Linked DNA regions of Oryzias latipes. The protein of the gene in region 3 purifies or fractionates together with the protein of the main gene of each other region. This does not show direct contact. Links are inferred from orthologs where the notes say so. Each region holds a gene or a part of one and is shown on either strand. Other genes may lie near its edges.

What was found.
Region 1: the proteins of lsm6 (region 3) and lsm1 purify together in Homo sapiens (co-immunoprecipitation; 3 studies listed by BioGRID and IntAct, counting the BioPlex papers as one, with this or other methods). This does not show direct contact. The link is inferred for Oryzias latipes from reciprocal best matches to the Homo sapiens genes LSM6 and LSM1.
Region 2: the proteins of lsm6 (region 3) and sart3 purify together in Homo sapiens (affinity purification with mass spectrometry; 4 studies listed by BioGRID and IntAct, counting the BioPlex papers as one, with this or other methods). This does not show direct contact. The link is inferred for Oryzias latipes from reciprocal best matches to the Homo sapiens genes LSM6 and SART3.

Annotation. Positions count from the first base shown.
Region 1 is NC_019867.2:18,635,585-18,639,816, forward strand, and holds lsm1 (U6 snRNA-associated Sm-like protein LSm1), read left to right. Parts: upstream 1-1,400; 5' UTR 1,401-1,490; coding exon 1,491-1,536; intron 1,537-1,646; coding exon 1,647-1,715; intron 1,716-1,845; coding exon 1,846-1,961; intron 1,962-2,930; coding exon 2,931-3,101; 3' UTR 3,102-3,629; downstream 3,630-4,232. Other genes in the region: bag4 (BAG family molecular chaperone regulator 4), read right to left, coding at 23-142, 681-770. UniProt on the Homo sapiens protein: Plays a role in the degradation of histone mRNAs, the only eukaryotic mRNAs that are not polyadenylated. Probably also part of an LSm subunits-containing complex involved in the general process of mRNA degradation.
Region 2 is NC_019867.2:12,885,902-12,890,325, reverse strand, and holds the start of sart3 (squamous cell carcinoma antigen recognized by T-cells 3), read left to right. Parts: upstream 1-1,592; 5' UTR 1,593-1,831; coding exon 1,832-2,032; intron 2,033-2,768; coding exon 2,769-2,895; intron 2,896-2,997; coding exon 2,998-3,102; intron 3,103-3,188; coding exon 3,189-3,373; intron 3,374-3,539; coding exon 3,540-3,645; intron 3,646-3,767; coding exon 3,768-3,892; intron 3,893-3,980; coding exon 3,981-4,136; intron 4,137-4,320; coding exon 4,321-4,424. Other genes in the region: iscu (iron-sulfur cluster assembly enzyme ISCU, mitochondrial), read right to left, coding at 157-245, 662-740, 821-931, 1,008-1,121, 1,289-1,390. UniProt on the Homo sapiens protein: U6 snRNP-binding protein that functions as a recycling factor of the splicing machinery. Promotes the initial reassembly of U4 and U6 snRNPs following their ejection from the spliceosome during its maturation.
Region 3 is NC_019859.2:18,488,992-18,493,400, reverse strand, and holds the start of lsm6 (U6 snRNA-associated Sm-like protein LSm6), read right to left. Parts: upstream 2,804-4,409; 5' UTR 2,716-2,803; intron 2,299-2,715; 5' UTR 2,289-2,298; coding exon 2,195-2,288; intron 2,075-2,194; coding exon 1,961-2,074; intron 1-1,960. UniProt on the Homo sapiens protein: Plays a role in pre-mRNA splicing as component of the U4/U6-U5 tri-snRNP complex that is involved in spliceosome assembly, and as component of the precatalytic spliceosome (spliceosome B complex).

The DNA.
Region 1 (4,232 bases), on a different chromosome or scaffold from region 3:
TGGCTCGTATAGTGAGATGTACCTGTGGATTGTACTGCGGATGCAGATCTGACGCTGAAGGATAGGCATTTGCGTAGGGCCCTGTGGAGTGGGACTGCGGATACCAGTATTGTGGAGGGTAACTTGGATACTGAGGAGCATCCTGTAAAAGGCAAGTTGACACGAGACAGCGACTCACTTTATGTGATCCAACCCATTTTGTGTAGCTATCCTAAATCTCAAATAGAGATATGGAGAACTTGATGCTGAGAAACTTAAATGATAAACGCATTGATAAACATATACTCGTGTCTTTCTAGAAAACTAAATAAATGGATGTTAACTTGTGTTTAAATGAATGAAATAATTTGAGCTAAACCAATGATTAACTCATGAAACTCTATATGATCGCTACGATCTCCTAACGTGCAGAAGTGTTGTGTTAAATCGATATTTTCGAGTCAATGTAATTTAAAAACAAGGACTTAACTAATAAGCTAGCAGTAACTATTACATAATGCCCGCTAGCTATATTAGCTATGAAGCTAGCATGATGAACATTGCGAAGAACTTCTGCACGAACGAACAAACGGATTTTATTGTTGGGAGATTTTAAATTAATCTTTGTTTCTTTAAAGCACAATATGATCTGTCACCCCCTCCCCCCAGTAAAGTTTTTTTTAATTAATCTGCTCGCTTACCATAGTGTTACTGCAGCTTCCGTGACTATTTCCCGAGTTAGTAGAGGGCCAGCCAGTTTTCCCGTTTGGCTGCATTTGGGGTTTCTGCATCAGTTACACGTATTTTGCCATCTTCCAAAATAAGCAAGACTATCACTAGTTTACGGTTCCGCTAGAAATCTGACAGCTGATCAAAGCAGCAGCTTCCCCGCAGAAGTCAGGATCGCCTGATTGCAACCAAGAAATGAATAAATGACGCGGAACTCTGGAGACATGGTACTGCGTCTTTAAGTCGAGTAGAACCATTACAAGTAAAGAGGAGTCACTCTCTAAAACTTTCTGATCGAAATTGCTGGATGAAACCTTACAATTGCAAAACGCAGAAACGGGGAACACAATTAGAATATTTTTAATTAAAGATATTTATTTTCAATATATTTTACTGCTAAGACCAACTATTGAATTACTCCTGTAGCAGTTGTATTTTTTAAACATGTGACGCAACTTTTCAAAATTTTCATTTACGATCTTTGATGTGGCACATGCGTTGGAAGGGTTACCATCCATCATCAAATGGGGACATTTAATCCAAACATGTTTTATAGAAAATTCTTTTTGTATCATAAAATGTATGATACTTTTGTTTAAATCATTTTTACACAGTTATTTTTAGAAAATTCGAGCTATGCGCAATTACGGTGCGGAAGGGGTTAAATGTTTACAGGAAGTGTATAAAAGCACTTCCTGTGCACCGTCAAATAGAAACGGGTAAAAACATTCATGGCTTGATGGTTCAGAAATCAACTAAACGCGTGAAAACTGCAACTAAACATGAATTACGTACCAGGGACGGCCAGTCTCATTGACGATATTGACAGTAAGTTGGGCCTTATAGAAATTGCTTTTTTTAATCATAAACAAACGACACAATGTATTAGCGTGTGCCGTGTGGACGCAGATTTTTTTTAAATGTTTTTAATTTCGCAGAAAAGCACTTGGTCCTGCTGCGAGATGGCAGAACACTAATCGGTTACCTGAGAAGCATCGATCAGTTTGGTAATAAAAAATGAGAATCTTCTAAACTCTTCCATGCGGGTTTATTTTTTTATTTTTATATGATTACGCGGTGTTTCAATAGTCCTAAATTTGTTTGTTTCTTTCTTTTTTTTTTTTTTTTGTTCCACAGCCAATTTAGTCTTTCATCAGACGGTGGAGCGTATCCACGTGGGAAAGAAATTTGGAGATATTCCCAGAGGTATCTTCATCGTCAGGGGAGAAAATGTAGTCCTGCTTGGGGAAATAGTAAGTGTTTTAGAGCAATTTTTTAGTTTGTTCTAAACTTGAATGTAATTTCTGGATCAAGTTTTATTTACGTGAACTTGTTCTCAGATGCTCCGTACAGCACCAAACATCAAACTCTGAATGTGGTCAAGCATCCAGGTCTCGCACTGCAGAAAATGATGTGACTCTTATTTAAAGATCAAGTTAAATTTATATGCAAGTAAATTGTTACTTTATATAGTTACTACAGTTATAAACTTTTTTTTTTGAAAAGTTGCTGCCTAAATGAATACTTGCTTAAAAAGGAAATTGCGCACACATTGACTGTAAAGGTACCTCCATGTTAAGGTTACTTAGCAAAAACAAAAAAGGCTTAATTTTACAACTTTTTCAAATTTGCTGTTTGGTCTAGCCAGATTTTTTATTTTTCTCTCCTGGTTTTCAATATGATATAAAAGAAAAGCGGGTGGGAAAAGTGGTGAGGATTGTCAATCTTTGCTCTTTCCATATAAATACAATGCATACTTCTTCTTACTTTTTTTTTTCTTAATTATAATTTAGATTACCAATGATTACACAAATGATTGCAGGATTGCTGCTAGTTTACCTCACAACCCCAACCTAACATGATGGTGGTAGAAATGAATACGGCAACAATATTAGAGCTATCCAGCCATAGTTTGGAGCCAGATCTCAGCTCCGATGAGGGAAACAAAGAGGCACATGCATCGTTTTGTCTACAATGGATGCATCAGAATAGAGTGGTGCAGGGAGCTTGTGGCTTACCATTCGAACTTGTGTCACACAAGTTTTTCGTGGGTCCTTGAACCACGGAGTTTAAGCATCTTTTTGGGCAAAACTATGAGCAGGCCATAGCATTGAGTACTAGCAACTTTTGTTAGTGTCATGGAATGATGCACAGAGCCTAAAAGAACTTGATGACATTTTCGGATCATAAGATTTGACCTCACTCTCCTGTGTCCTGTGCAGGATTTGGATAAGCCCTGCGACACAGTCTTGCAGCAGGTTTCAATTGAGGAGATCCTGGAGGAGCAGCGGTTGCAGCAGCAGGCCAAACAGGAAACGGAGAAAGTCAAAATGCAAGCTCTGAAGGACAGAGGCCTTTCCATACCCAAAGCTGATAATTTGGACGAGTATTGAACCCTTTACAAGCCTTTTAGTTTGTATAAGACAAATGGATTTTATGTTTAACTGAAGGGTGTCTTTTGTTTTGTGGCTAGAATCATGTAAGGCACAATACTGCATTGTTTTGTTTTGCTTTTTTTTCTTTTCTTAATAGTTTCATTTAAATTGTATGGGGATGTAAGAACTGTTTAAGCAAATGGTTACAACTTGACGGCCTTTTTACAGCAGCACTTTGTCATCAATCATCATAATGACGTGAACTTTTTATTTGGAGATGGTGGGTCTGCTAGTGACTAACACTCCTGTTCTCCATTAAAACAATTGAGTTTCACTTACTAAAGCCTGCTTGAAAAATCTTTTGTCTTTGAAGGTTTAATCTGCAAGTACACAGAAAGCGGTGCGTTTAGTCATTTAAGTATTTATTGGTGACTTGACTGGCTTCCTATTGGCTAATCAAAACGTTAATTCTGTTATAGGGATGATCTTTCAGATACTGATCAATTTCCCTCATTAGCTGCTAGAATAAAGTGACGTGTAAGAGAAGCTATGCGTTTTACAGTCATCTTTATATGTACCCCGTATACTTTTTTATTTTTTTTTATTTATTTTTTTCTTAACCTATAGCAGGGTTCTGCAACCTTCAGCACATAAAGAGCCATTTGGGTTGATGTCTCAATGACCACGCCCCAGTAGGAGTCAAAGTCTTTATTTTTTTATTTTTTTAAGACTAATTTGTCTTGGATACTAATATGATAAATATAGATGAACTGTTATTTGGCATAAATAAAAAAATATAAAGAGAAAATAGCTTTTTTTTTAAAATACCGGTAGTTTAAACTTTTGATGGAGGTTCATGTGACTTCCTCTCAATAAGTGTCCTGTTTCACATGGGATCCTCTCAATCCAGCAAATGTAGAAGTGTAATGTCAGCAGTGATTAAAAATAGATATTTTAGCATTTGAGGTGCATAACAGCCAACATTTGTAAATCAAATCAACAAAAAAAAATTAGAGCTAAGTGACCCTTGCCATATTTATTAGAACCATAAGGTGAACTTAAAAATCCTTCAATTTGTTAAATAGAAAACTCACCATCCATTACTCCTTTAGTAGGAATTCTGGCTGTGCTGACGGCTCTACAATTGAA
Region 2 (4,424 bases), on a different chromosome or scaffold from region 3:
ATTGTCCAGGTCATAAAACAAAAATCACAGCTGCAAAATAGCATCATGTGGCGCATGAGTCCTCCAAAAAGGGTGTGATGCTCTCGATATTTCTGTGAAGGATTTTTTTCTTCAGATCAAGGATATCTCTTTCACCAGGATGAACGTGGAAAAGAATTAACTGCTGGCTTTGGCGTGTTCCTCTTTCTTGTCCTGTTTGATTTTGTAGTCTGAGAGCGCTGCTTTTATGGCATCTTCTGCAAGCACTGAAAAGGAAAAAGTGAAAGGACACGGCACAAATTTAATGCAATAACAGCAGGAATTCCGATTTTGATGATTGTTTCTCTATTTATTTTGTAACACTAAGAGTAAATAACGAATAACACTCATATAAAAGATCTATTTACAATGTAACATGCAGTTTTGCTGAAATGGGGTTAAATATGAAATTAATTTAGTGGATTTGGAGAACTCAGGAAGTTGTACTTTTTTCTCCTCCTTTGTGTTGTCCAAAAACAAGTGTCCACACAAAAAAATAATTTTAATACAAATAAATCCTAAAACAGGCAATCAGTTGTGTCACACTTTGTGTAATGTGATTTCAATGCAGCAATTGTGTGTATTCTACCATTAAATGTATCATCTACAAGGCAGGCAGCTCGAATAGGAAAATCAAACTTACTGGAACAATGAAGCTTGACTGGAGGGAGGCACAGTTCTTTGGCAATGTCTGAATTTTTAATCTTCATAGCTTCATCCAGCTACAGGATTTTAAAAAGTATGTTATTATGATCCTTAGATAAAACAAACAAACTTTTCGGAGCCTTTTTTCGTAACTCACCGACTTCCCCTTCACCCACTCTGTTGCTAGGGAGCTGGAGGCTATAGCCGACCCACAGCCGAATGTTTTAAACTTTGCATCCACTATTTTTCCATTTTCATCAACTTGAATCTAGGATCAATATTAAAGTAAATTAATAATGTATAAAAATCTGAAATATAACGTGTTTGGCCAAATTCAAGCTTACCTGGAGTTTCATTACGTCACCACAGGCTGGTGCACCTACCAAACCTGTCCCCACACTTTTGGAGTTTTTGTCCAAAGATCCCACGTTTCTCGGGTTTTCATAATGGTCAACCACCTTCGAAAAAAATTAAAAATATATATAATACGGGGTAGGTTACAGAGACACAAATAGCATGTCGCATGCATTAGCTTGTTCAGTTCAGCCACACCAACTACCGTTTTCGCAAAACTGGCAACTTTGTTTAAAATAAAAGCCGTGTATTTGTGCATTCAATGTTTTACCTTTTTGTGGTATGAGCAAAGTGACTTTAACTCCGGTCTAAATAGCCTGCTGCAAAACAAGGAAGGCAAGGACGCACAGTTTCGTACACTGATCATCGCCATGTTCACATTGCCGATTGTGAACGATGAATGCCGAGTGAACACGAGAGGTGCCGAACGCTGTTTGCTGATAAACATGGTGGACTTCGTGTTAACATGTCGAAAAAGCTCCATCTAGCGGTTGAAGTGGTAATTGCCAAACTTGCTTCTTTTTTTATGTGGCTCAGTGTTTTATTGAACCAGTCACCGTCAGTGTCACTGGCATGGAGACACACTTTTGTCCCGCTCATATTTTTGTAGTTATCCCCGTTCCAATTGCTCCCAATGACCGCAACTGTAAATTGTTTCTTAAGTTAGTTTGTCCACTCACGCACTCCGTAATCCTAATATTTTGAGGCACGAGCATAGCGTGAACGCGCACGTCTTTCACCGTTGGGACGGGGCGGGTTTTCAATAAGAATTGGCTGCTCAGGCTGCTGTTGCCAGGCAGACAGTATTTCCAACATGGCAGCGCCAGCTAACGCAGAACAAACGCAGTTGCAAGATATGGAGGAGGACGGAGCAAAGGTGGAAGAGAGGGAGATGGATTCAGACGAAGAGGAGGACGAAGAGGGCATGCGTGTCGAAAACTCAGACGAAGAAGAGGACGATTCTTCGGAAGACGAAAAAGAAAATGAAGCCGAAATCCAGCGGTTGGAAGAACAGGTATTGACATCATCAAGCAGTCATGCTTTAGCCGAGGTGCTAATATCAATGAATGAATCGCAAAGCCTATACCAAGAAGCAGTTATAAAACGACTCACTCATCAGCATAGTTAACTCTTCTTGACAAATAAATAAATATCATTTTTGTTAGCGAATCACACATGAAACGTTTACGATGTTTATATGGCAATCCTGCTCATTCCTGCTAACTGGTTAAGCTAGCAGTTATCGCGCCTTTTTATCCTTTCGGGATATTGTCATCATTACTCTTCTTGACTTTTAAAGAACAAACTGAGGGGTAGCCTGCACTGTATTCTGTACATTTGTCCTGTTTAGTATATAGTGAAAATAATGTTTATATTGTGCTAAGGAAAGGGTTAAATGATTCCTTTATCTGTACCCACTTAAGATTGCTTACTTAGACTGCACAGTTTGTAGTGTTTACTTTGTCTTTAGCTGTGTCCAAGACGGTCTTTGGGTTTATAACCTTTGACCTTTTGCTTATAATAAGGAGAACTTGGCTCATGTGTTTTTTTTTCTTTTAATACACAATAAAGAGGAATTAATTGGTAAACATTTGACAGCAAAGTTTTGACCGCTTGCTATTGGAGTCTTGCTTTATTTTTTTCTCTTTACAGTACTATGCAATAATAAGGTTACATAGCTTATAGAAGCTGCCTTATATTTTGATAATGTATTGCTACCAAATAATATTTTTTTCTGTGCTCATCCTCAGCTGTCTATCAACGCCTTCGACTACAACTGCCACGTGGATCTCATCAAACTGCTGAAACAAGAGGGAGAACTTATCCGTCTGCGAAAAGCAAGACAGAAGATGAGCGAACTTTTCCCTCTTACTGAAGGTTAGGTTATGTCTAACGCAGTTCCAGCACAGACAGAATACTAGCACTGCATTGTTTGTGACAGATATGTAAACGCCTCCTTTTTTGTTTCAAATTCTGCAGAAATCTGGCTGGACTGGCTCAAAGATGAGATTCGTCTGACAGAAGAAGAGTCAAACAGAGAAAAAGTCTATGAGTTGTTTGAAAGAGCCATCAAAGACTACATCTGTCAGTGCACCATGTTATTGTCATTTCCTTTAATCCAATGTTCAGTTATTAGATTGCCTTAATGTCTTTTGTTTTTTTTAACACAGGTCCAGAAATTTGGCTTGAATATGCCCAGTACTCAATTGGGGGTATGGGCTCACCAGGTGGGATAGACAAGGTGAGATCCATCTTTGAGAGGGCAGTGACAGCTGTGGGGCTTCACATGACAAAAGGACAGTCAGTGTGGGAGGCATACAGAGAGTTTGAGAACGCCATTCTGTCCACATTGCAGGTTTGTGTTTACTTTTTTTTTTGTCTCTTCAGACTCAAAATCTGGGTTTAAATTTCAAAGATGCTTTACTTAAAGATAAAAAAGTCTGCATCTTTAAACAAACAACTATAGTGTTTGACAGATTGGGCCAAATTTCATCTTTTTTTGTTTTGTAATCTTCTGTCAGCCTCCCCCTGGCAAAGTTCCCAGGAATGAGGAACAGGAGCTGATAAAAACCCAGCTTGAAAGAATTCACACACTGTTTCGCCGTCAGCTGGCCATCCCCTTAATGGGTAAGCAGCCAGATAAAATTCAAAATCTGAATCAGTGTTGCTATTTAAGTGTACCTTTTTTAGATGTCACCAGATTAAAATAGTTCTAATCTGTAAACCTTTGGACTTGTGTGCTTTTGTAGACATGGAAGCTACTTATGCAGAGTATGAAGAGTGGTCTGAGCATGGAGTGCCTGAGGCCGTCGCGCATCAGTACAAAAAAGCGTTGCAGCAGATGGAGAAGTGCAAACCCCTTGAAGAGGCTCTGGTAGCTGACCTGCACACATTTGGTTTTGAATCTGTCTTGAGCGACTTTTTTCTAGTTGTTAACATCTTCTTGCATCCGTCTGCTGCAGCTGGTGGCCGAACCTCCTAAACTGGCTGAATATCAGGCCTACATTGACTTTGAATTGAAGGTGGGGGACCCAGCACGGATCCAGATTACCTTTGAAAGAGCTCTGGCAGAGAACTGCTTGGTTCCAGACATGTGGTCTAAATGCACCAAGTATCTTGTGAGTATTGATTATTGTTCAGTCTATAAAGAATGAAATTTTTGCTATGTATTTGTTTTAGTTCAGCTGCCTGTTTCTGTTTATTTAGCATTTTAGTAAATTGGCCAATTAAGAAAGAAAAATGAAAACATAATTAAAAAAAAAGTGTTGCTTAGATTTTTGTCTTTTATTTTTGATCTTTTAGGATCGCCAGCTGAAGGTTAAAGACTTGGTTCTGTCCACTCATGAGCGGGCTGTTAGGAACTGCCCCTGGACCATGAGTCTGTGGAAGAGCTACCTGCTGGCTTT
Region 3 (4,409 bases):
AAAAGCAACTTGTATATGAGATACAGTTGCAGTGCTCAACATTGTGATCATTAAATGGAATTTGACCATTTTTTTACAATGAAAGACATATTGAAATTAAGTCAGATATTTTTCTAAGTCATTTTCTTTTTAAAAAAGAAAGAAAATGTGCTCCGGTACTATATAAGGATACGCATCGTATCGTCAGACTCTTGCCAATACACACCTCTAGTGCTTAGGCTGTCTCTGCAGATGAAGTAGTAACATTGGTATTGCCCTTATATAATTTTTTTGGATTTTTGTGTTGTCCACACATAGGAATAAAGTGTGTTTCTTTAGAAAATAAAAGGACAAAAAAGAGAAAGCTTACATCATTATGTAAGGTTTCCTTGATTGTGTTGTGTCAGAATATGCTAGGCTAGCTCTCCATTAGTGGTTAACATTTCAAACAAATTTCAAATATTCCCCAAACACAGATTTTGTGTACCTAAAGATGAAATCTCACAGCAGATGGTATAAGTTAGTGAAAGAATTTACATTTTTAAAGGTAAAGTGAAATTATTTACTGCAGTTTTAGAAATGCCATTTACAGATGTATCCAAAGTCTTTTTTTTAATATATTTTCCATATGCAAAAGAAAAAACTCAGATAAACTGGGAAGGTGATAGTTTTACCTTTTAAGACCCGAGCTAATATTTGAGATAACCCTCTACACATAGTCACAGGGCCCCAGTTAAGCAAAATTAACAACTGTGGTAATATGTGATGTTCGCACATGTGGACATCAGGTCTTAAGAGGTTAAAGATATTTTAGCCAGCCCATTCTATTCGTTTGCCTCCTAAACAATCTGCATCTGATCGTTTTTGTGTCACACCTATAGATCATCCTGCTTCGTACTGCCTTAAACCTTTAAAAATTTGTGTCATTACTGTCCATTTGGTTAAACCAATATAAATCAATCATGCACTTAAAATTGTTAAGATTCATTTCTATCACTTTGAAACGTTCCTATTAGCAAAATTGTCAACTTTTTTCTAATACTCCCCAAATAGTTTTTTGTTGGTTTAAGACATGGGTAGGCAACCTGCGGCTCCGGAGCCGCTTTCATCCCTGTGCTGCGACTGTCTGTATTTTTGTAAAATACCTATCATGTTCTAAGATTGTTGTAGAGCCTTTAACACCGTCGGGTAGCGCGAGCGGTCAGGAGGAAGAGCGCAGCGTGAGCACGCGGAGGGGGCGTGTCTGCACATGTGAATACTGACCAGAGTCTGGTATGGGATGGAAAGTTCTTCTATAAAGACAGTCAGCGGTAATCTCGTAGGGGCACAAGATCAAGGTTGTGTAAAATGGACAAAAGATCAAAGGAAACATAAGGCTCATAAATAATTAAAATAAATAATTAAATAAATATCCTGACAGCATTTTGAATCAATACAAGTATTGTCAAATGAACTATTGCGACATTTCAAAAGCAAAACGCTTTATTTCTAACACCCCTTGTGTTGCGGTTCCCTGTGCTTTCATTTCTGTGGGAAACGGCTCCAAATGACTCTTTGAGTGGTAAAGGTTGCCGACCCCTGGTTTAAGACATGCATTAAATCTATTTGATTAGGCTACTTTTACCTAATCATTTCTGCAAAGAAACAACTCCAAACCACATCTCTCTACCATAGTCACCTAAACTTGACCAATAATTCCAATTTCTTTAAATGAGTTCTTAGGCATGCCTTATGCAATGTAAATATTTTCACCATATTTGCATGTTTCAGACATACATCGCTGTATTTAAAAATAAATTAAAACTATGATGAATAGGTCAAATATCATTAACCAATGATTTTGGGTTATTTAACTGACTATGCATACCTACTATTCAGTGTAAAGTTAAAACATATAATCTAAAGGCATACCCCCTTGACTAACGTCATTATGTGCAGAAGGCTTAATCAGTATTTTTATTGTAAAAATGTAACCTCTTACCATTGTTTCCTCTCAGAAAGGCATCCCCATACTTGTTCTTGAGCTGTCCATTAACATACTCTTCTGTCTGTTCAATGGCGATGTTCATGTAACCATCCAGACAGGCCAGAACACCTGCATAAGTTATAGCAAACAGGAACAAAGTTTTGGTTAAAGTCTCATTCCTTAACAGACATTTAGAAATAACAATAAAGGAGAACCGTGCGGCTGAGCCTGGCACGCCAGGTGTTTTACCTCTGTAATCCACACCAGAGTTTAGTTTGACCACCACTGGTCTACCAATTATCTGCTTAAGGAAGTCACTCGGCGTTTGTTTTCTCATACTCATCTTGCTTGATCTGAAAAATAAAGGTTTTTGTATATTAGCCTTTTAGTTTCTTGTGCTAGCATCGCCATCGTCCTCCATGATTAGTTTTATGTTTAATAGCGTGGATTTAATACATAAAAAACGATGTTTTATTTCCGCTAAAATACCACATAAAAAGCCCAACTCTCATTTTTTCCAACCACGTGCTGAACTACAGAAATAAGCATCAATGAACAAATTAAATCACTGAGCAAGCGGGAGACGTTAGCTGCTACTGCTAGCGTAGCTAACCATCTGGCTACTGACGGGGTTAACTGTCTAATGTCTGTAGAGATAATGCCGGAGGTTCTTTAAGATTTTCTAAACAATTGTATCTGCAATGTAAATAGGCTAAACGCATGTTTGCTTTACAAGCAGAGGTAAATGGCTTGGTTTACATTCCACTCACCTGCTATTACGTCTAGCAAACGACTGTTTTCAACGACACCCGCGAACTACCCAATCATATACGTGCAGTCTATGGTAGCCGGCCGTTGTCAAAAATATCGAAATCGCATTAAGTAGCAAACGCGCTAAATTTAGAAAATCTGTTAATAATAATAATAATAATAATAATAATAATAATAATAATAATAATAATAATAATAATAATAATAATAATAATAATAATAATAATAATAATAATAATAATAATAATAGAACTGTTTACTGTTTTCAAACCATTAAACTCTTAACCGGCTTTTTTCTAAAGCAGGACACATGTCAAGACATTACATTCTAATTTAAGTCCTGTAAAATAAAATAAAAAGTTCAAAACTACTTTTTTTTATGTCAACACCGGTTGGATCAATTCACAATTTTTTATCCCAGAACTGAAGAGTTTAGCATATTACGTTTTTGCTGCATGTTGCACCAGTTGCTATTCATTGGCAAAGAGAGCAATAATTAGTAAGGGTTGTTTATAGGCAAATGTTAGGACTTAGAATAAGGCAGTCAGAGGAAGTTATTATTGAGACCTGAAATGTCAAGTCACATGCCTGTTTCAGCTGAAGAAACATTTAGTACCTTTGGACAATCTGTAAAGGCTTGAATCTGCAGAATAAACCTGTTAGACGGACAATGTTACAACCTAACTGGATGTTCTATGGCTTCAGCAATTAAACAGTGAGAAAAAAAAAACAAGTGAGCAATTGATCGAGCTCACTTATGTTTAATAAGCTGAGAAGGCCACCAGGAGAAATCCAGTTAGAGCTGGATGCATTCTTTTGCTGGGATGCTTTTAACATTTATTCACATAGTTTGGATTTAAACAAGTCCTAAACTGTGTCAGAGATACACAACTCACAAAGGGCAGAGCAAAGCATTTGATTAATCATCATTAGCTGCACTAAAATCAAGACAAATTAAAATTTGGAACAGTAGAAAACTTCATCAGCCAGCAAAACAACGCCAAGAATGAATGCCACACAGAAGACCGTGGAACAAGCAGAACATGCAAAGAACTGCAAACATTGTTGGATTCAGTTGAGGTCAAAGCGCATGATATTTTACACTTTCTGATTGTGACAATGTATTTGTGAAAACCTATCAGACAAGAAAAATAGAAATGCTAAGATTAAGTATTTGTTGTGTATAAAAGAAGTTTAAGTAGTTACAAAGTTTATACGGACAACATTTGGAGTAAGTTCAGTGATGAGGCAATCAAAACCACTACTTTATTGTTTTTGATGTTCTCACTGGAATGTCTATGAATAAAAACATCAAGGAAAGTTTAAAGTAATATCTAACACACTAAGTTTGACTGTTTTATATATGAAATATGGCGATCCGTTTTTGGACAAAGAACTTCCGCTTTTGCTAGGTCATGAAGATCAGCAATCTTGAAACTCTAAAAATCATTTCTAAAATAAAAACAAAGTGGTGGTAAGATATCAGAGCCAGTGTTTTTCTTTTTATTTAGGTTTTTTTCACAAAGTCCCTTTTTTCAGTGTAAAGTATACTATGAGTAAAAAGGTTTGTCTTTTTTTTTGTGGAGACAAATTAAGTAATCAGCTTCATGTCAAGCTAAGATTTATCTCTGGATTGTTTTATCCAAACAATGGCTTAAAACATTATTGTTTTAAAATAATACTACCAACCTGG